Arabidopsis thaliana: one gene and its partners. The protein of the gene in region 4 purifies or fractionates together with the protein of the main gene of each other region. This does not show direct contact. Each region holds a gene or a part of one and is shown on either strand. Other genes may lie near its edges.

Region 1 (4,588 bases), on a different chromosome or scaffold from region 4:
ATATTTCAAATGTCAATGGTTTATAGTGGAAAGCCTAATGCATTTTTTTTATAAGTTATATAAGCATATGGTTGGTAATCACAAATAGTCCAAAAATTCACAAAAAAATATGAATATGTTTAGTTAGTGGTCTTCTTCCTTCTTCAATACTTGACCCCTAATTAGTTTCTCGACATATTTGACCCCTAATTGGTTTCTGGAATTGTCTCAATTATTTATTATTCCACATGTATTTGTTTAACAATAATAAGAGTTTTAACTTTAAAGATGATTGTTAAATTTACCACTTTCGTCATTATGTTTTGTGCCACCAAATGATCAATATCTGAAACATTCTCACTCAAAACTAGAATGATACGACCACCAGTCATAATCACTTTTTTTTTTTTAGTTTATCACCTGAAACTGGTCGGAACTGCCACAGTTTCAGGTTTCATCCCCAGATATTTCGGCCTTTTTGGCAACTCTGGTTATGAAAATTACGTTCTTGAATTATACCCATTAACCGATAACTATACCTCAAATACCAATTGATCCTCTGAAACTGATAATTGTATATATATGAGATTGATTAGTTTTCACTGTATATTCTCATAGAACATTGTATGTTTTACCAGGGTACAGATTTTTAAACAGTCTTTTCTAGTTTATTCAAAGATGTTGAGCTCTCCAATCAACAGCAGAATCCTCGTCATCCTCCTCATCGCTGGGCGATTCTTCTTCTGTCTTCTTCGGCTTTTTAACAGACCCCTCAGAGGTTTTACTGCGCTTCGCTAATCTTGCCGCTTTAAGTTCCATTTTCTTCCTCTTCAGAATCTCTACTTTCTCTTTGTATGATCTGCAGAATAAGATTAAAAGGAGAAGCCAAGTGTTTACTTAATCTTAAACAAGTCTCAACATTTCCATCTTCTTGCTATAACAAAGTAATGAATCAAATTACCTTTGCTCTCGTTGTTCCTCCTCTTCTATAGTTTCCGCAGCATCAACCTGACAATTAGAGTGCGAGAAAAGCGATTTTAAGTTTAAGAAAGAGCTTATGATACTGTCAGCAATTTATCATAGTGACAGAAAGTTATCTGACCTCTTCTTCTTCCATGCGGCTATCCACTACCTGCAAATCATCTTGTATCAACTTCTCAAATTCTTTATATTCATCCCTGTAAGAAGATCCATGTTTATATAAGTTCACGAAGAGAATTCTTAGGTACAAACCCATAAGATCATATGAACCATTCAAATTGAGAATGTAGGAAAGTAACTGGATCACAAGGTCCACAACAATGAGGTTTCACTTTGATTTTCTGCATCTGGAAAAGTAAAAGCAACAAAAAAAAAAAGAGAAGAAACTCACTTGATATCTGGTTTGACGAGCTTGATTCCATGGGCAAGCAGGTCAGCTTCTTTATTATCAAAAAAACCGGTTGGAAGGTTTCCATTCACCATTGGTTTTGTTTCTGGACCAGTGGTCTGTGTCTGACTCTGTTTAGGTTCACTGGTGGTTTTGGTATTTGAAGAATCAGTTTTCTGATTATCAAAGAATCCGGCTGGAAGAGGTCCCTTTGACTTATTTGTTTCAGATCCTATAGTGTGCTTTGATTGCTCTAAATTCTTGGATTTTGCTGGTTCTACTTCTGCTGCACATATATTTGATCAATAAGTTTTTTTTTTCGATTGACGAATGAAACTATCATCAATCTTTCAAAAAACCTAAGACTAGAGCCTTTAAGCATGGCATCCACATAACTAGCACCTAAACCAAAAGCCTTCTACTAAGAAAATTATTCGAAAAAGATAAGAACAAGAAGAGGAAAGTGCATTAGTCATTACCTCTAGCAGGCTCACGATTTTCGAAGAAATTTGGCGGAAGACCAGATGATGTCTGAGAATTGGATGATTTAGCCAAAGCTTCAATTTTCGTTGGCCGAGTTTCAGCAGGTTTGCTACCCCGTTGGACTCCCGCTGCACTAGCCTTGAGACTATCAATGGCCTGTCCAAACGTTACATTACGAAAGCTAAGTTAATAAGATTAAAGAACATAAAACAGAGAATCTAACGCATAAAATCATATAAGAGCATGAAATCTACCTATCTTCAATGTATGTAATTTATCAAATATCCCATTGTTGTTACTCAGGTTATAAGAGATTGTGAAGTAAAGCTTATGGAGCAGAAGACACTAAGTTTACCTCGTGGTGCTTACGAGAAGCTTGATGTACATCCCAGAGTGATTCAGATTTCAAGACGACATTGCAAACTCGACACACAGGCTGGTCTGATTCGTTGTACCTACAAATCCAAAGAACAAACTCTTCATCCCAACTACAGCTCAAGCCCAATCCCCAGAACCCACAAATATTTGGAATTGTAGAAACCCAGAAGTGACATCGAAACGAAGAGAAGAAGAAGCTAACAACGGTTTACCTAACGAGAGGAGAATCTATGCGGGTGTCTTTCTTCTTGGCGTTGAGTTTAGACCGGAACATGGCCTTCTTCTTCGCTTGAGCATCCATCACTCTCCTTCGTAGCAACCCACGCAACTCCCAAATTATCACAACCTCGCAAGGAATACGAAGATCTGAGAAATTTGTTCTATTCAAATCAAACCCTAAGTCCTTAGAGGAGGACAACAGTCACCGTGAGAATCAAAATTCCTCCCTCCGTTCTTCTCCGCAATCTCTTCTCTTTTACGGGTCGGGTCGATCCAACTCGGGATTAGACTTGAGACTTTCGGGATGCTTCTGGGTCGTTAGTCGTAACTGGGCCGGACTCATTATCCCCATTTTCCTCTGTTGTTAATTTAGTATGGATCACAAAATACCTTAAACTCCACCTTTTATAAAAAAAAAAAAAATGCAAACTCGATTACAAAGATCAACTACATGGAAGAACAGAATTATATCATTCAATACCAAACATATGATTTTTTTTTAATTGAATTCACAAAGGGTAGCAGAAAGAAAATAGTTTTTTTTTTTTCTCAACAATTGAGTTTGTTTTCTTTCTACCGAAAAGAAATATTCAATAATGTTAAGTTTTTGAATTGAGTTTGATCATATAAGGTTGAGACCATATTGTAAAATAATAACAGATGACTTCATGCCCCTGTAAGCCGCAACGCCTCAGCGAATAACTCCTTGAGAGAAGCGTTTGAAGCCGCGATCCTCTGCGATGTTATGTCCAAATCTTTACCGGATCTGATGAACAAAGACGACATAAAACAGTTAGTTATAATCAGTTGGACGGTTTGAGAGTGAGTGTGTTTGGTTTAATCTCAAACTCTTACGGATCAAAGATGAGTCCACCAGCTTCTTTCACGATAACAATTCCTGCTGCAATGTCCCTGTGAAAGATTTGATATTATTATGCCATCATCAGGATCTAATTTTGTTTGTACAAGAAAGAAATCCCCTTTTTTAATCCAAGCAAGGAAAAAAAAAAGAAGACAATTTACCATGGACCACCGAAACCGAGCTCGTAGAAGATATCAACCCTTCCACACGCAACGCCACAGAGGTCCAGTGCACACGAACCACTCATCCTAAGGGACCTGACCTGATGAATGAAGGACACAACAATCATGAGTTTTGGCAGAGACTAGAACCAAATTGGTGGAGTTCCAAATATCTATCGATAAACTTTTACCTTGGTTAGCAAACTGTTGATTCTGTTGGTTGTATCGTCTAATGTAGCTTTATCTCGTTTAGTACCCGCCTATATTCAATTGGTCACATTAGCGATGAGAGGAGGCTTCATAGCAATCTAGTTTTAGTAGTCTAACACAAAGGAGCCAGATTTTTACCTCTGTCACGAGCAAAGCGGTTAAAAGTTCGCTTTGAGCTGACACTGCAAAAAGAACATTGTTTGAGTTGAAAAGAAGGAAGAGAACTCAAGTCTCTGAACAAGTGATAGCTATACTCCGGATGCCATAAAAAGAGATCAAGAAATTTTTTATTAGGTCTCTAGAACAAGTGCTAACCTTTGATTCGCTTTCCATTCAAGAATGCTCCTTTCCCTTGGACACCGGTGAATAGCTGTTTGATCATTAGATATTATGTAAGAATTGAGAAAAATCTTGAAACATGCATGTACAGAGCACCATCAAGGAAACTATGTATAATGGTAAGTTGTAACGATCGAAGAAACTTGAAACAATGGAATACACAATCTTTTACCTCTTCCATAATAGGATTATAAACAACTCCAACAACAGGGACTTTTCCAATCGTAAGTCCAATGGAAACACACACGAAAGGGAACCTACAAAAAAAAAACAGCATTTGTTTTTGTTTTTGATGAAATGGGCAAATGAAACACACAGGTCATTCAAATGGGAATTGATCAATAATGATAATACCCGTGAACGAAATTGGTTGTTCCATCAAGAGGATCAACAATCCAAGTTGGTTCGTCAGTTAGTTCTGTCACACCAAATGCAGCTGTAGTTTCTTCTCCTATGAACTAATAAATTATAGCAAAACTCTAATGATCAACGCGAGGAAGAAGCCAACAAAATGGGAATTCAAAAGAAGAAATAATCACCACCTTGTGATTGGGAAAGAGCTGCTTGAGATGATTAAACACAAGTTCT
Region 2 (4,339 bases), on a different chromosome or scaffold from region 4:
AAAAGAGAGGACGATGTGTACAACTTCGGATTCATACTTCTGGAATCTCTGATAGGACCAGTGCCCACTACAAAAGGAGAGGCTTTTCTTCTCAACGAAATGGTAACAAAGAGAAAAAGCAAAAAAAAAAAGCATCATCATTGTTATTTGATTGAAACAAATTTGGTTAATAGCTGTTGCTGCAATGTTGTGTTTGCAGACATCATTTGGGAGCCAAGACGGTCGGCAGAAAATAGTAAGTCCAACAGTCCTAACAACAAGCTCGCAGGAGTCTTTATCGATTGCGATCTCAATCGCCAATAAATGTGTTTTGCTTGAACCTTCCGCAAGACCTTCCTTTGAAGATGTTCTCTGGAACTTACAATACGCAGCTCAAATGCAGTCTGCCGCAGACGCTGAACGCAAATCTGATACGTCGTCGTGAATCCAAAGGCTAACCTAATGATTGATAGTTTTTTCGGTTTTCTAAATGTAAAGCTCTATAAGTTTGGTTTTCAGTATAAAAATGTAAGACTCTTGAGACTAAAAATCATAGTAGCTTGTCTTCTCTTGAAACTTATTTCGTTAAACAAATATTGATTGAAGAAGATATTGAGTCTTGTAGTTGAAGAGAAATTCTCAATCTTCAAGAACAAGGTAAGTAAAGGCAGGAGACCTGTCAAATGTTTTTGGAGAATCTTGTCTTTGAATTGCAGAATCGATCCCAAATAATTTATTTATTATAAAAGGTACAATGTTGCATGGATTAGCATATAAGTGACCGTAAAACCAAGTGCTACACAAACTTTTTCAAGTGCTTCAAATCATCAATAAACTTAAACAGTAGCTGGAACTTTGGATTCCACTGATTTGAGAACCTCCTCACCCATTTCCTTGCATCCCACCAGTTTCTGCATTTTCAAAACACAAAAGACTTTTTTAAGTATTTTGTTACGAACTTGTACAAAACAAATGATAAGAATCATCATGCACATACATTTCCAGGGGAGTAGATGTCTCCGGTTCTGAACCCTTTGTTCAGAGCATCCACGACAGCGTCTTCAATCCTCTTTGCAGCCTTTTCTTCTCCAAGTCCATACTTCAGAAGCATCGCCGCGCTGAGAATGGTGGCCAATGGGTTTGCCTTGTCTTGTCCAGCTATATCTGGTGCTGAACCATGTATAGGTTCAAAGAGTCCAGGTCCCTGATTTCATCACAAGTTTAACATTTCGCATTAGTTTATAAACAGGAGGAGCCTTGAAAGATGTTAGTTAATTTTGTTTACCGATTCACCGAGACTAGCAGATGGAAGCATTCCAATGCTTCCAGTGATCATTGAAGCTTCATCAGACAATATATCACCAAAAATGTTATTGGTAACGATTGTGTCAAACTGCATTGTTTTAAAAACACCGTGAGTACTAGTTCCACTTCTGAGTTAGCTTAATCAACGACTAAGTTTGATATATGTGCGAGAAGCACCTGTTTCGGGTCACGAATAAGCTGCATTGCAGCATTATCGACATACATATGTGATAGTTCAACATCTGGATATTCAGAGGCTAAAGCTGTTACTCTTTTCCTCCACAATATTGATGCCTACATGAAACAAAGAAATTTGCATTTCGTAAAACACACAAAAGTGGAAAAACAATTCAGTGAACTAACAGAACGTACATCCAACACATTGGCTTTGTCAACAGAACAAAGTTTGCCACGCCTTTTCCTAGCAGTCTCGAATGCTACACGAGCAATTCTGTCAATCTGAAGAACATAAATCAATGCATTAATATCCATACATTGCCAATATTGTCACAGAGCACAGTGTGAAGGGTTATTACCTCGTGAGCAGCGTAGATCTCTGTACTAACGCCGACTTCTTCGCCATTTTCATTGATCGTAATGCCTCTTGGCTCTCCAAAGTAAATACCTCCTGTGAGCTCCCTAACAATCATCATATCAACACCTTCTGCTACTTCTTTCTTCAGTGTGGAAGCATCAACTAGCTGAACAAGCAAAACAGAAACATTTGAGTTTATTTACAACTAGAAGCAAAATTCAAGTGCTAAGCAAATCAAAACCGAAGATACCTGTGGCAAAACTGTAGCAGGTCTCAAATTAGCAAAGACTTTGAGATCTCTTCTAAGGTAAAACAGAGCCATCTCAGGTCTCAGATGTTTCTCATTCTTGTCCCATTTGTACCTGAACAATAATCATCCAAACCTCAAGATCAGAATAAATTTGGAAGCAGATTGCTAAAGAAACAGCACTCACACACATACCCTCCAATAGCTCCAAGAAGAATGGCATCAGATAGTTTTGCAGCCGTGAAAGTTTCCTCCGGCAATGGAACTCCAACCAAATCCAAGGCTGCTCCTCCGACAGGCATCTCCTTGAAATCAAACTCCAGTCCTGTGATACAAAAGCAAAGACACAATCATCTACTGGCTAAGCAAACACACTCGTTGTTTCCAAAAACCATTGAGAAAGAGAAAGAACCTTCGAGAGATCCAGCTTTCTGAAGCACATTCTTAGCAACAGAGATAACTTCTGGACCGATACCGTCTCCGGGAAGCAGAGCGATGTTATACCGTTTTTTCCCAGGTGAAGCGGCGGCGCACCTAATTCGATACGGCGCACGAAACTGATGATCGGTGAGAGAACTGTATTTCCCCGGGACGATCTTGATCGCATTCAGACTGATGTTCGTTTGCAAAAACGCCGCCATTTTTTTTGGGAGTTAGCAAATTTGAAATTGTGTCACAATAGTTATATAACATAAAGAGTTTGGTACTTAGATAGGTGTGCACGTTTTTTGAATTACGCCATTAAAGATTTGTTTTTTTAAATGGCTTAAATTATCCTTTTTACCTATAAACTGGCTCACCAGCTAAACCATGCCATTGCTTGTTTAGGAAAAGAAGAAGAAGAAGCGCCACTATAATTGGGCCTTTACCAAAGATTGGCCCATTTTAAAGTCGAAATATTGGGCCGCTCTTATAGCCCATCAAAGTACCAGGAGAAGTTCTTAAAAGTTAAAACGTAGTAGTAGAGGAACAATAACGGCTGATTATTTAATTTTATGATCGGATATTCGGATTTTGTCAAATCGTCTGGTTAGTCCAAGGATGAACACGAACTGTTTTTAACATAATACTTCTATAACAAAAATAAATTTAAAGTAACTAAATTAAAGCCTAAATGACCAAAGATTCTTAAATATTTGCAAAAAACAGAAACGAAAGGCGAGGCAAATCCACCACACCACGTGAGAGTTATGACCAATTTTTGATGTTTTCTGAATATGATACGTATCATAAAAAGTGTGTTCATACTTCATAGGGGATAGGGATAATAGTATAATACTATATTGTTGAAGTGTGGACACACAAATAATATGAAAGCAAGACTTTGTATATAAATTATTTGGAACATTGTGTACCCCCAAATTATTAATCATTATCCAAATTTAGCATGTCTCGAGGTTTTTTTTCTTTTTTTTGTATTTTTGACTACCGGACACTGTGTGCATGCAGGGTGTGAAACGAAAGCGTACCGATGTAGAATTTTTTTTTTTTTTTTCTTTCTTCTTTGAGTTCGAGAAGAAACAAGTAACGGAAACTGATGTCATAGTCCATTTATCCGTCCCTACAGCATCTACAATCGCCTTTAACAGTTTCTTCTTTCGTCCTATCTTCTTTTTATCACTCCACATTAAAACAAAATGATATTATTACAACATTTGTATGATTTTTTTAAATATATTTTTTGCTTATGAGTTATTATAGATCTCAGGAATTTAACATTTTTCTTTTCTTAATTTTGTTTAGATTGCCTTGCTAGTTGCTATTACTATTCACTCATTAAATTAATGTGTATATATAGGATATGAAATTGTCTCCATCAAGTTTTGTGTTTTATATATCTAGGCTGTGTAATCGATACAAATATACAAACCAGAGATCTTGTTTTTAAAAAAAATTAGTCAGCTCTTTTCTAGACTAAGCTATTGGATGTATCTCCTTTACTATTCTTTTCTTCACATTGAAAACATATGGAAGTACTTTTATTATCATGAGATCTTCTATTTTTTTTTTTCTCTTTTATAAAGATTATTTTCCATTCATCTCAGTTCCACGTATTATTTTAAATGTTTATCATAATAACCTCGCTCTCTCAAAAAAGTTAGAAATCATGGCATGGTCACACTGATCATCCCTCCACTTATATATAGAAACTTTAGTAAATGTTGTATCGACGATAGCAGTGGATGATTCACCACTTCTAGAAACTATTCATAAATGCTTGTCTTATTTTTTGTGCATGATTCAATTCTTAATTTATGTTTACACACCATAAA
Region 3 (4,575 bases), on a different chromosome or scaffold from region 4:
AAAGGAGCTTGCTTTGAGAAGAGAGAAGCTGGGCTCGAGATTTGACTTCGAGGGTAGTGAATTGTACTCGAGCGAAGTCTCTTGGCTTCCAATTGTCACGAGTTGTTGGGATTTCGAGTGCGAATACAGTATCTTCGCCGAGGTGGAGTTCTAAGAACCGGAGGAGTTCGTCGGCGACTATGGTTTGAGGAACGTTTGAGATTTTAACCGTTGATCGGTTCGTCGTCGTCTCTGACACCATGATTAACCCAAGAGAAAGAGAGACGGGGACAGTGTGAAGAGTAAATGATTCTCGAGAGAATCAGAAGTTTTTGCTTTTTCAGAAAGTTTGCGTTTTTCGAAAATCAAAAGGTAGAAGAAGAGTGCTTAGTGTTTATTGAGTGTTTTGTGGTGTACTGTAACTCAATACAGATGTATGATATCAACCGTAAGATTAGTTCTCGTTGATCTTGATCGTTGATTGTGGATAATATAAAGTTGACCGGTTTTGTCTATGAATTATATTAAACCGTCAATTTCGACCGTTGGTAACCGGAGGAGCCAAGAACTCACTATCTGCTTATTCAAATACTTGAGTACCTTAAAATCAAACACATAAGTGAAGGTTTTTGTATAATGATCTTAGTAGGAGTAGGAGAACACAAACATGTTTTTTTTTTCTGGTCATAGCTTCCTAGGCACAATCACTCTTATTGCCATATTGTGTGAGAAACAAAATCATGAGAAAGATTCTATAATCTCAAGAAGGCGTTGAAGCCATGAACTCTAAAGGAACCAAAGAAGGAAAGAGTTCTGTAAATCTAAAACCATGTCGTTGATTCTTTGTCTTCAAGCAGTTTGAGCAACTGGTTCATCAGATGCTTCAAGCCTTCAAAAAAAACAAAATTCATAAGCGACTAATCTTACAACAATGATAAGCCGTACTGGACATACGGGTGACGGTTAGTTTACCTTTCGATTCCTTCCCCAACCTCGACTCTAAGAAAATCGGTAACCTTCACTGGAGAACCTACCTCCTTGGACAAATTATCCACCAGTGTCTGTGGAATAGGAGCCCAAGAGTTGAATTCAACAAGCGATGCAGAGGTAATAAAACGGTAAACTAGGTGTTTTAAGCTAAGACCCACATACCTTAATGTTTATAGCATCGTTCACAATAAACTTTTGCTCCATTAGAGCAACTTCTTCAAAATACTTACGGAGACGCCCTTCCACAATCTTCTCTATCGCCATCTGATTCTTGCCTGTACTTTCTGCCTGTCATATACAACATTTGATAAGCAAACTTTTCTAACGCAGGTTGTGTACTTTTTACAAATTACAGTTCAATTTCATAACATAAAGTGACACTAACCTGAGACTTTAGAATCTCGCGTTCATTTGCCATTGCTTCAGAAGAAACAAGGTCTTTGCTTAAAAACAAAGGCTTTGCTGCTACAACATGCATAGCCAGTTCTGAGCCTACACGCTGAATAGCCTCTAGTTGAGTATTTTCACCTTCTACTTCGAGAGATACAATCCCAGCTATACGACCCAACCCTATTCTCATTTTTTTTTTTAAAGTTAGAAATGCACAGAAATATCATAAAAAAAGAGATTAGAAACAATGGGAAGTATATTGAACAAATTGTACCTGGTTGAGGACTTGTGTGAAGATATGCAGAAAGGACGCCTGCTGAAGATTTTGACATCAAGAAACCTCTCCTAAATTTTACATTCTCTCCCATGATTGCAGCTACTTCTGTAACAGCGTTTGAAACCGTTGTTTCACCATTAACTTTTGGATGATCGAGGTTAAGCTTGAACTCCTGATAGCATCCATTAGAGTGATTAGAAATGAAAAGTTGATATCAATATCTCAGACAGTGCAAAGGAAACAACATAAATCCATAAATTTAAATAACAAAAAAGGAAACAAGCGAGTACATAAAAAACTGACCTCAAAAAGCTCCGGCCCAAAGGGGAAGACACCAGAAACTTGCTGCGAACTACTCTCAACCAGCAAAGCATGTTTTGCCATAGCTAAAGCCTGCAAGACATGTCAATTTTAGAAGACAAGGAACAGTAAAATAAACAAAAAGCCCATCATTCAGCAACAACCAATGTGAAATTGCTATGGGACTAACCAAGTACTGGAAAATCTCATTCCTAGCAACAAAATCAGTCTCACAGTTAAGTTCAATAACAGCAACTTTCCCTTCATTTTGAGCAACGGCAAGCATTCCTTCTGCAGCAGTCCGTGACGACTTTTTCGAAGCCAAAACTTTCCCTCTCTTTCTCAAATCCTTCTGAGCAGCCTCTGTGTCAAATCCAAAAAAACCCACTTCAAAACACAACAAAACATACACAACCTTCACCAAAACAAAAAACCTAAACCAAATTCTTACCAAGATCCCAATTGCATTCAACTAAAGAAGCCTTAACATCTTTAATAGGAGCACTAGTTCTTTCCCTAAGTTGCTTAATAAGACTCATTTGGTCAGATACAGCAGGAGGAGCTTCCGAACTAAAACTCCGTATGAAATTCCCAAAACCACGAACAAGGCTTGTGTAACCAGACGGTACAGAGCTTTTGTACTGAGACAAAGTTTCGAATTTGCTTGCCACAGTAGAATACTCATTTCCAGAACTAAATCTACTACTAACACTATAATAAAAGACTCCAATTGGTCTTCTCACTGCTCTAGCAAACGCCATTTTCTTATATGTTAATCAGTTCTCTGCATCCAAAAACAAAAATCCTCAATTTGATAAGTATAAAATTCCTTCCTTTAGATCATCAAGAAACAAATTCTGAACTTGAGATAATCAAACGCAAGTCTTAACTAATTAAACCCTAAAAGAAGAGATTAACTTGACTAGAAATAGATCGACGTGAAACGAGATCGAAATAGCTTGGGAATGGAGCTTACCCGGCGATGAAAGTTGTTTGGTTACTGTGATAACGACGGTGATGGTTTTTGTAAAATACGACTGAAATTGGAAAAGGGTTTAAGTTTATAAGTATGGGCCCATTGATGGCCCATTAAGAGTTCGATAAAATAGTTGTTTTTGCAGAAACTTTTAGTTTAGGGTTTATGATAATGGAGAAAAAGCTTCCCCTACCAATTTGACGACAAGAAGCTGTGAATCTTCTCAATTGTGTTTCGGAATCGAAATTCGATCAAGAGAAATGTCTAATTCTACTGCAATCTCTCTGAGAATGTGTTCTATCTAAGGTTTGTTCTTTTCTTTTTCCAACATTTCCTCAATTGGAGTTTTTGAACAATTGTTTTTCCATATGGCATGCTTCACTAGTTCACTATGAATTCTTCTTTGTGATTCTTAAGTCTTTCTCATAGATGTAAGACAGCTTGATCTTAGATTGAGCAAGGCCTTGATTCATCTTCTGTTGTTGTTTGTCTCAGAAAGTAAAAAAGTTTTCAGTACCAAGTGAAGAAGACCATAAACAAGTTGGAGCAGCTTGATTGAGCAAGAAACCTTGATAACGTTATTACGCTGATTCAGTCCTAAGCTATGTACAATGATAAAGCATTTCAAAGATTACTTTTGTGAACATTCAACAAAAAACGATGCATTTAAAGTTTTTAAAAAGAAAAACGAAGATTTTTCTTTTCTTGGTGGAGGAGATTCATCCGTAGAACTAAAAAGCTCATTTCAACTATATATACATCAGAGTATGCTCTTTTACCTTAGAACTATCGGAGCAAATTTACATATCACAAAGAGGAATCTTATTGTAAGAGCCAAAATAAAAAATAAAAAAATAAACACCTTAGAACACCACAAAAGAGAAGGTCTTTTACCTTACTATGTATACCCATCAGCGGTATAAACCCTTACCGCGCTGATCAAACCGCAACTATTGAACAACTATAGTTCTACTCACTCTCATTCCTTCACCCCATTTGAGGAAAACTTTAGCAACAGATAGATAAAACTATCTCATATCTGTGTGTTGAAAGCTTGTTCGTTATCTCCGTTGTTTTGCCTGATTCTTGGATTGATGGGGTTTTTGTTTTACCATAAACCAAGAGGGCTCTAGGTGTAGAATTACCTCAGCTTCTTCTGTATGTATGTATTTATTTCAGACCAACTGTAGAACTTTGATTGACCCATTTGAGCTAGCTGAAACAACCATATTCGATCTTTTTCTCCAGCAAACGCTTGAAACGAACAGGTTGTTGTCCTCCTCTATCTCCTTACCTGATATTGGATCAATAGAACCAAACTTGTACGAGGTAATTGGCATGGGAAGAGACCGGTGATAGGCATAAACCTGAACAAAACAAGAAACAGCATATTTCTCAATCAGAGAGATCACTTAAACAACAATACTACCAGATTAGTTCTTTTTTGACCCTACGCCAGTTATTTTACTAATTGTTAGTATCAATGGATAAGTTCCTCCATCGCGTATAAATAGACGGAATTCACATGGAACTGTGATTTTTTCCATCACATGAAATAAACTCTGGAGCTTCTAGTTAAGTTGAGAATCAAACTATCAATCTGTGGCAATGCTTGTTAAAGGATTATAGAAAAGGAGATTCCATACACAAAGTTATAGGAATA
Region 4 (4,855 bases):
TTTCGATATAGGGGTCCCGGGTTATAGCTGCGACAATGCTACATCCGTGTCCCCGACTAAGTTTAGTACTGATAAGGGCCGTCGCAAAACACAAGCTCTAGGTAACCAAAATTATATAAATTGCAATATAATTACAAAAAGAAGTTGAGAAATGTAGAAACATGTTATACATAGGTTTTTTGAGTTATGTAACATAAGATATGTGGTGTTGAGTGCAGCAACATGGGAGGCAGTGTGTGTATACTCGCAGTTTCGGTCATCACCATCGCCAAAATGCTGCGTTTCACTCTCTGCCTTCTACTACCAAAACATTGTTCCTTGTCCTACCTGTAGCTGCGGCTGCTCGAGTTCCCATTGTGTCAAGTAATTCACTTTTCTAAACCTTTCACTTTTTTTTGGATATAGATGTAACAACATGTATAATATATACTAGAGAGCAACATTTGATTGATCAGGGATGGAGAGTTGCCGCCATATCTTGAACAGAAACATGATCCAGATGAGGAAGTATCGCCTGTCGTGAAGTGTTCGGATCATATGTGTCCCATCCGCATCCACTGGCATGTGAAAGTGAACTATAGAGAGTATTGGAGGGTTAAGATCACAGCAACAAATTTCAACACAATGAAGAATTACACTAATTGGAACTTAGTGGTGCTTCATCCAAACTTGAAAAGCGTCCAACAAGTCTTTAGCTTTAACTACAAATCTTTGACACCATATCAAAACAGCATCAGTAAGGAAATTCTTTAAAAACCACACCATAGTCTCTTAGATTATTGGTCTAACATCACTTGTTCTTCGTGTGGTGTTATTTCAGATGACACAGGGATGTTTTGGGGAGTCCAGTTTTATAATGATGTTTTGCTTCAAGAAGGAAAGATTGGGAATGTTCAAACAGAGTTATTGCTGAAGAAGGATATGGGAAATTTCACTTTCAGAGAAGGTTGGGCTTTCCCAAGGAGAATCTTGTTCAATGGTGATGAATGTGTTATGCCTTCTCCAGATGACTTTCCAAGGCTGCCAAAATCTGCTCATTCCTCTTCGTCTTCCTCTGCTGTTATTAGCTCTGTTTCAGTCGTTTTCTGTTTTCTCCTTCATCATCTTCTTCTACTAGTTTGATGAGATTGTTTCTTTCATTTGAACCTACATTGTTCCATGCTTCTTTGACTTTTCCAAGAAACAAAGCCTCTAATAAAGCTTGCATCAAAAAGGATTAATATACAGTATTAGGATTTAGGAAGCATGTTCTGTGATGTCCATTCACATTTCTTGACCATTTGAGATTTAAAAGAACTAAGAATAAGGTAAGATATTTATGGTGTATTTATTAACCAATACACAAAGCCGGTTCGTCATATTGAAAGTTGAAACTAGTTATATATGGCCCACCATATCAAGCGGTGAAGTTCTATAAGTGGAAAGGAAAATTACTCTTACGAAGTCCTTGTAAACCAAGTAAATGAATAAGGCAATAGTACATGTATTCTAAGCTCTAATAAAATGGAAGTAAAGCAATATTTCTAAATTTTAATTGTTAAAAAAAGTTGAATGTCGCATTAAAATTATCACTCTTGTGAAAAAAAAAGAATAAAAGTTGAATGTCGCAATGTTTTTTTTTTGTTTTTTTCCTAAACATATAAATAACAAAATGGCATGTGTCATCACAATGTAAAATCTCATAAGAAAAATAAGGAAAAAGAATATTCGGAGCCAATAAGAATTTTATATTTACGTGAGAGACAAGTGGCCCAATTGACGGGCCCATATTGCAAAAACGCCTCTTTTTAAAACCCGCCTCTTCCTTCACACCAACCTTCACTTTTCTCTCAGATCTGCTTTGAGATTCTCCGATTGCATCTCAAAAAATCTCAGCTATGGCTACCTCCTCCGCTTGGAAGCTCGATGACCACCCCAAGCTCCCCAAGGGTAAGACCATCGCCGTAATCGTCTTAGATGGTTGGGGTGAATCTGCCCCTGATCAGTACAACTGTATCCACAACGCTCCAACTCCAGCCATGGATTCTCTTAAACATGTATGTTACCTCCTTAATCTTTGATTTTTGATGCTTTTTGGATTCATTGAACTTACTCTTGTTTCTCTATAGGGAGCTCCTGATACTTGGACTTTGATCAAAGCTCACGGTACTGCTGTAGGACTTCCTAGTGAAGATGATATGGGAAACAGTGAGGTTGGTCATAATGCTCTTGGTGCTGGTCGTATCTTTGCTCAAGGTGCTAAGCTTTGTGACCAAGCTCTTGCTTCTGGCAAAATCTTTGAAGGTGAAGGTTTTAAATACGTTTCTGAATCTTTCGAGACGAATACTTTGCATCTTGTTGGACTTCTCAGTGACGGTGGAGTTCACTCTCGTCTCGATCAACTACAGGTTTTGATTTGATATGTTCTTCATTATTTTGTTCAAATTCTGGTTTAATGTTTGTTGATGATTCCTTAAACTTGTTGTTGCTTTTGCGCAGTTGTTGATTAAAGGATCTGCTGAACGTGGTGCTAAGAGAATCAGAGTCCATATTCTTACTGATGGTCGTGATGTTTTGGATGGTTCTAGTGTTGGATTTGTGGAAACCCTTGAAGCCGACCTCGTTGCATTACGTGAGAATGGTGTGGATGCTCAGATTGCATCTGGTGGAGGACGTATGTATGTGACTTTGGACCGATATGAGAATGATTGGGAAGTTGTTAAAAGAGGTTGGGATGCTCAAGTTCTTGGAGAAGCTCCTCACAAATTCAAAAACGCTGTTGAAGCTGTGAAGACTTTGAGGAAAGAGCCTGGTGCTAATGACCAGTATTTGCCCCCGTTTGTGATTGTTGATGAATCAGGGAAAGCAGTTGGTCCGATTGTGGACGGTGATGCTGTTGTTACCTTCAACTTCAGGGCTGATCGTATGGTTATGCATGCTAAGGCACTTGAGTACGAAGATTTTGACAAATTTGACCGTGTGAGGTACCCAAAGATTCGTTATGCTGGTATGCTTCAGTATGATGGAGAGCTTAAGCTACCAAGCCGTTACCTTGTTTCTCCCCCGGAGATTGATAGAACATCTGGTGAATATTTGACTCACAATGGCGTCAGTACTTTTGCTTGCAGGTATTTCAACTTCTGTCCTTTTCTCACTTTGAGTAATGGTTATATGCTTTGTTTAGTATAGTTCCAGTTGCTTGCTCATTATAGGTCTATACTATGCTTTGCATTTTTGCCAATAGTGTATCACGCTTGAACTGATCATATATATTAATGTATGTGACTGAAACAGTGAGACCGTCAAGTTTGGGCATGTCACCTTCTTCTGGAATGGAAATCGATCTGGATATTTCAACGAGAAATTGGAGGAGTATGTTGAAATCCCAAGTGACAGTGGAATATCATTCAATGTCCAGCCAAAGATGAAAGCTCTGGAAATTGGTGAGAAGGCAAGGGATGCAATCCTTAGTGGCAAGTTTGATCAGGTGAGATGGATGCATAGTCTTATGATCTTATAATCGAACATCCCAGGAAATAAGCAGTGATCATCTTATGTTTCAATATTGATTTTCAGGTGCGAGTTAACATTCCAAATGGAGATATGGTGGGTCATACAGGTGATATTGAAGCCACGGTTGTTGCATGCGAGGCTGCTGATCTTGCTGTGAAGGTATGTTTTATAAGTTTATTGACAAGTCTTAATGATGATATGTGTGAGTGTGTGACTTAGCCCACAAATGGTTTGGTTGTTGCAGATGATTTTTGATGCAATCGAACAAGTGAAAGGAATTTATGTTGTGACTGCTGATCACGGAAACGCAGAGGACATGGTGAAGAGGGATAAATCTGGCAAGCCTGCTTTGGATAAGGAAGGGAAGCTTCAGATTCTAACCTCTCACACACTCAAGCCAGTAAGTCCATATCTGTAATCTGTGTTATTACCATAACATAAACCATTGGACCATATCTGATGGGAGATTGTAATTATTGTTTGTAGGTGCCAATTGCTATTGGAGGTCCTGGTTTGGCTCAAGGAGTGAGATTCCGTAAAGATCTGGAAACACCGGGGCTTGCAAATGTAGCTGCAACAGTGATGAACCTCCATGGATTTGTGGCTCCCTCTGACTATGAGCCCACCCTGATTGAAGTAGTGGAGTAGAAGAATTGAGAGCCTTATCAGTTTTTGAAGAGAGGGCTGAAACTCTCTAGTTATCTTTTGTTGCTTTTCTAATAATAAGAGTTTACACACAGACTACTTGTATTTTTGATTTTGGCTTTAGGCCAAAAACATTGAAATTCCATCTTGAATGATATGCAAGCTTTTTTCTTTCTCTCCCATACGATCTCTTCTAGCCAAGGATAAAATTTGCATTGAAAGAGAGGAGGATTAAACATCTTCAGATTGTACTTACATTTGGAACCAAATAGATCCTGAAGCATTCAAATTTCTTGACTCTTGCAAAGCATACAAACAGAGAATATATCATAACCTTTTTACAAAGTCATGACTCATATTAAAAAAACTTACCAATACAAAGTCAAGCTACGTCTCCTTAAAACTTGTAAGCAATACAAAACTCAAGTTTTTATGCAGAAGCTTCCATGGCTATGGCTATGTCCTCTTCCTCTCCAGTGGCTAGCTTAGCTTCTTTCAGTTTGTGAGAATCTTCAACATCCTCTTGTTTCTTCAATGCCTGTGCTCGGAAACCGACCATTATCTCCTCTGCTTTTTCAACCATTGCCAACATATTCCCATAGCGAGTCTGCAGTTTACTCTCTGTTTCCTTTTGCTTTATCACTTCCTCTTGCAAATTCTTTTTCCTAAAAGATGCAGCCATCTCTTCTTGCCTCTTCAATGCTTTAAAGCACTCTAC

What was found.
Region 1: the proteins of iPGAM1 (region 4) and AT3G02860 fractionate together in Arabidopsis thaliana (co-fractionation; one large-scale study listed by BioGRID). This does not show direct contact.
Region 2: the proteins of iPGAM1 (region 4) and IMD1 fractionate together in Arabidopsis thaliana (co-fractionation; one large-scale study listed by BioGRID). This does not show direct contact.
Region 3: the proteins of iPGAM1 (region 4) and AT4G11120 fractionate together in Arabidopsis thaliana (co-fractionation; one large-scale study listed by BioGRID). This does not show direct contact.

The regions. Positions count from the first base shown.
Region 1 is NC_003074.8:624,648-629,235, forward strand, and holds AT3G02860 (zinc ion binding protein), read right to left. Parts: upstream 2,721-4,588; 5' UTR 2,511-2,720; coding exon 2,422-2,510; intron 2,287-2,421; coding exon 2,187-2,286; intron 1,988-2,186; coding exon 1,828-1,987; intron 1,635-1,827; coding exon 1,352-1,634; intron 1,158-1,351; coding exon 1,082-1,157; intron 988-1,081; coding exon 941-987; intron 839-940; coding exon 652-838; 3' UTR 516-651; downstream 1-515. Other genes in the region: VTC4 (Inositol monophosphatase family protein), read right to left, coding at 3,095-3,194, 3,284-3,340, 3,452-3,552, 3,643-3,711, 3,800-3,843, 3,977-4,031, 4,173-4,257, 4,355-4,458 and 1 more. UniProt on the Arabidopsis thaliana protein: Essential for breaking seed dormancy before seed germination. Prevents reactive oxygen species (ROS) accumulation in response to abscisic acid (ABA) and oxidative stress, probably by repressing the accumulation of ABA-induced ROS-scavenging enzymes (e.g.
Region 2 is NC_003076.8:4,574,588-4,578,926, reverse strand, and holds IMD1 (isopropylmalate dehydrogenase 1), read right to left. Parts: upstream 2,805-4,339; 5' UTR 2,708-2,804; coding exon 2,479-2,707; intron 2,392-2,478; coding exon 2,262-2,391; intron 2,182-2,261; coding exon 2,070-2,181; intron 1,986-2,069; coding exon 1,821-1,985; intron 1,744-1,820; coding exon 1,657-1,743; intron 1,579-1,656; coding exon 1,462-1,578; coding exon of another isoform or gene 1,460-1,461; intron 1,373-1,459; coding exon 1,265-1,372; intron 1,184-1,264; coding exon 977-1,183; coding exon of another isoform or gene 965-976; exon of another isoform or gene 891-964; coding exon 816-890; 3' UTR 525-815; downstream 1-524. Other genes in the region: AT5G14210 (Leucine-rich repeat protein kinase family protein), read left to right, coding at 1-102, 200-424. UniProt on the Arabidopsis thaliana protein: Involved in both glucosinolate and leucine biosynthesis; catalyzes the oxidative decarboxylation step in both leucine biosynthesis (primary metabolism) and methionine chain elongation of glucosinolates (specialized metabolism).
Region 3 is NC_003075.7:6,776,188-6,780,762, reverse strand, and holds AT4G11120 (translation elongation factor Ts (EF-Ts)), read right to left. Parts: upstream 3,012-4,575; 5' UTR 2,913-3,011; intron 2,721-2,912; 5' UTR 2,698-2,720; coding exon 2,388-2,697; intron 2,300-2,387; coding exon 2,127-2,299; intron 2,030-2,126; coding exon 1,940-2,029; intron 1,809-1,939; coding exon 1,634-1,808; intron 1,540-1,633; coding exon 1,355-1,539; intron 1,258-1,354; coding exon 1,132-1,257; intron 1,041-1,131; coding exon 952-1,040; intron 869-951; coding exon 829-868; 3' UTR 520-828; downstream 1-519. Other genes in the region: RDR2 (RNA-dependent RNA polymerase 2), read right to left, coding at 1-241; SPA2 (SPA1-related 2), read right to left, coding at 4,088-4,279. UniProt on the Arabidopsis thaliana protein: Associates with the EF-Tu.GDP complex and induces the exchange of GDP to GTP. It remains bound to the aminoacyl-tRNA.EF-Tu.GTP complex up to the GTP hydrolysis stage on the ribosome.
Region 4 is NC_003070.9:3,164,835-3,169,689, reverse strand, and holds iPGAM1 (Phosphoglycerate mutase, 2,3-bisphosphoglycerate-independent), read left to right. Parts: upstream 1-1,765; 5' UTR 1,766-1,877; coding exon 1,878-2,036; intron 2,037-2,108; coding exon 2,109-2,387; intron 2,388-2,478; coding exon 2,479-3,107; intron 3,108-3,273; coding exon 3,274-3,466; intron 3,467-3,555; coding exon 3,556-3,651; intron 3,652-3,736; coding exon 3,737-3,892; intron 3,893-3,978; coding exon 3,979-4,140; 3' UTR 4,141-4,320; downstream 4,321-4,855. Other genes in the region: COBL6 (COBRA-like protein 6 precursor), read left to right, coding at 1-101, 219-363, 456-736, 821-1,122; CDC5 (cell division cycle 5), read right to left, coding at 4,568-4,855. UniProt on the Arabidopsis thaliana protein: Catalyzes the interconversion of 2-phosphoglycerate (2-PGA) and 3-phosphoglycerate (3-PGA). Required for guard cell function (e.g. blue light-, abscisic acid- (ABA), and low CO(2)-regulated stomatal movements) and fertility (e.g. pollen grains production).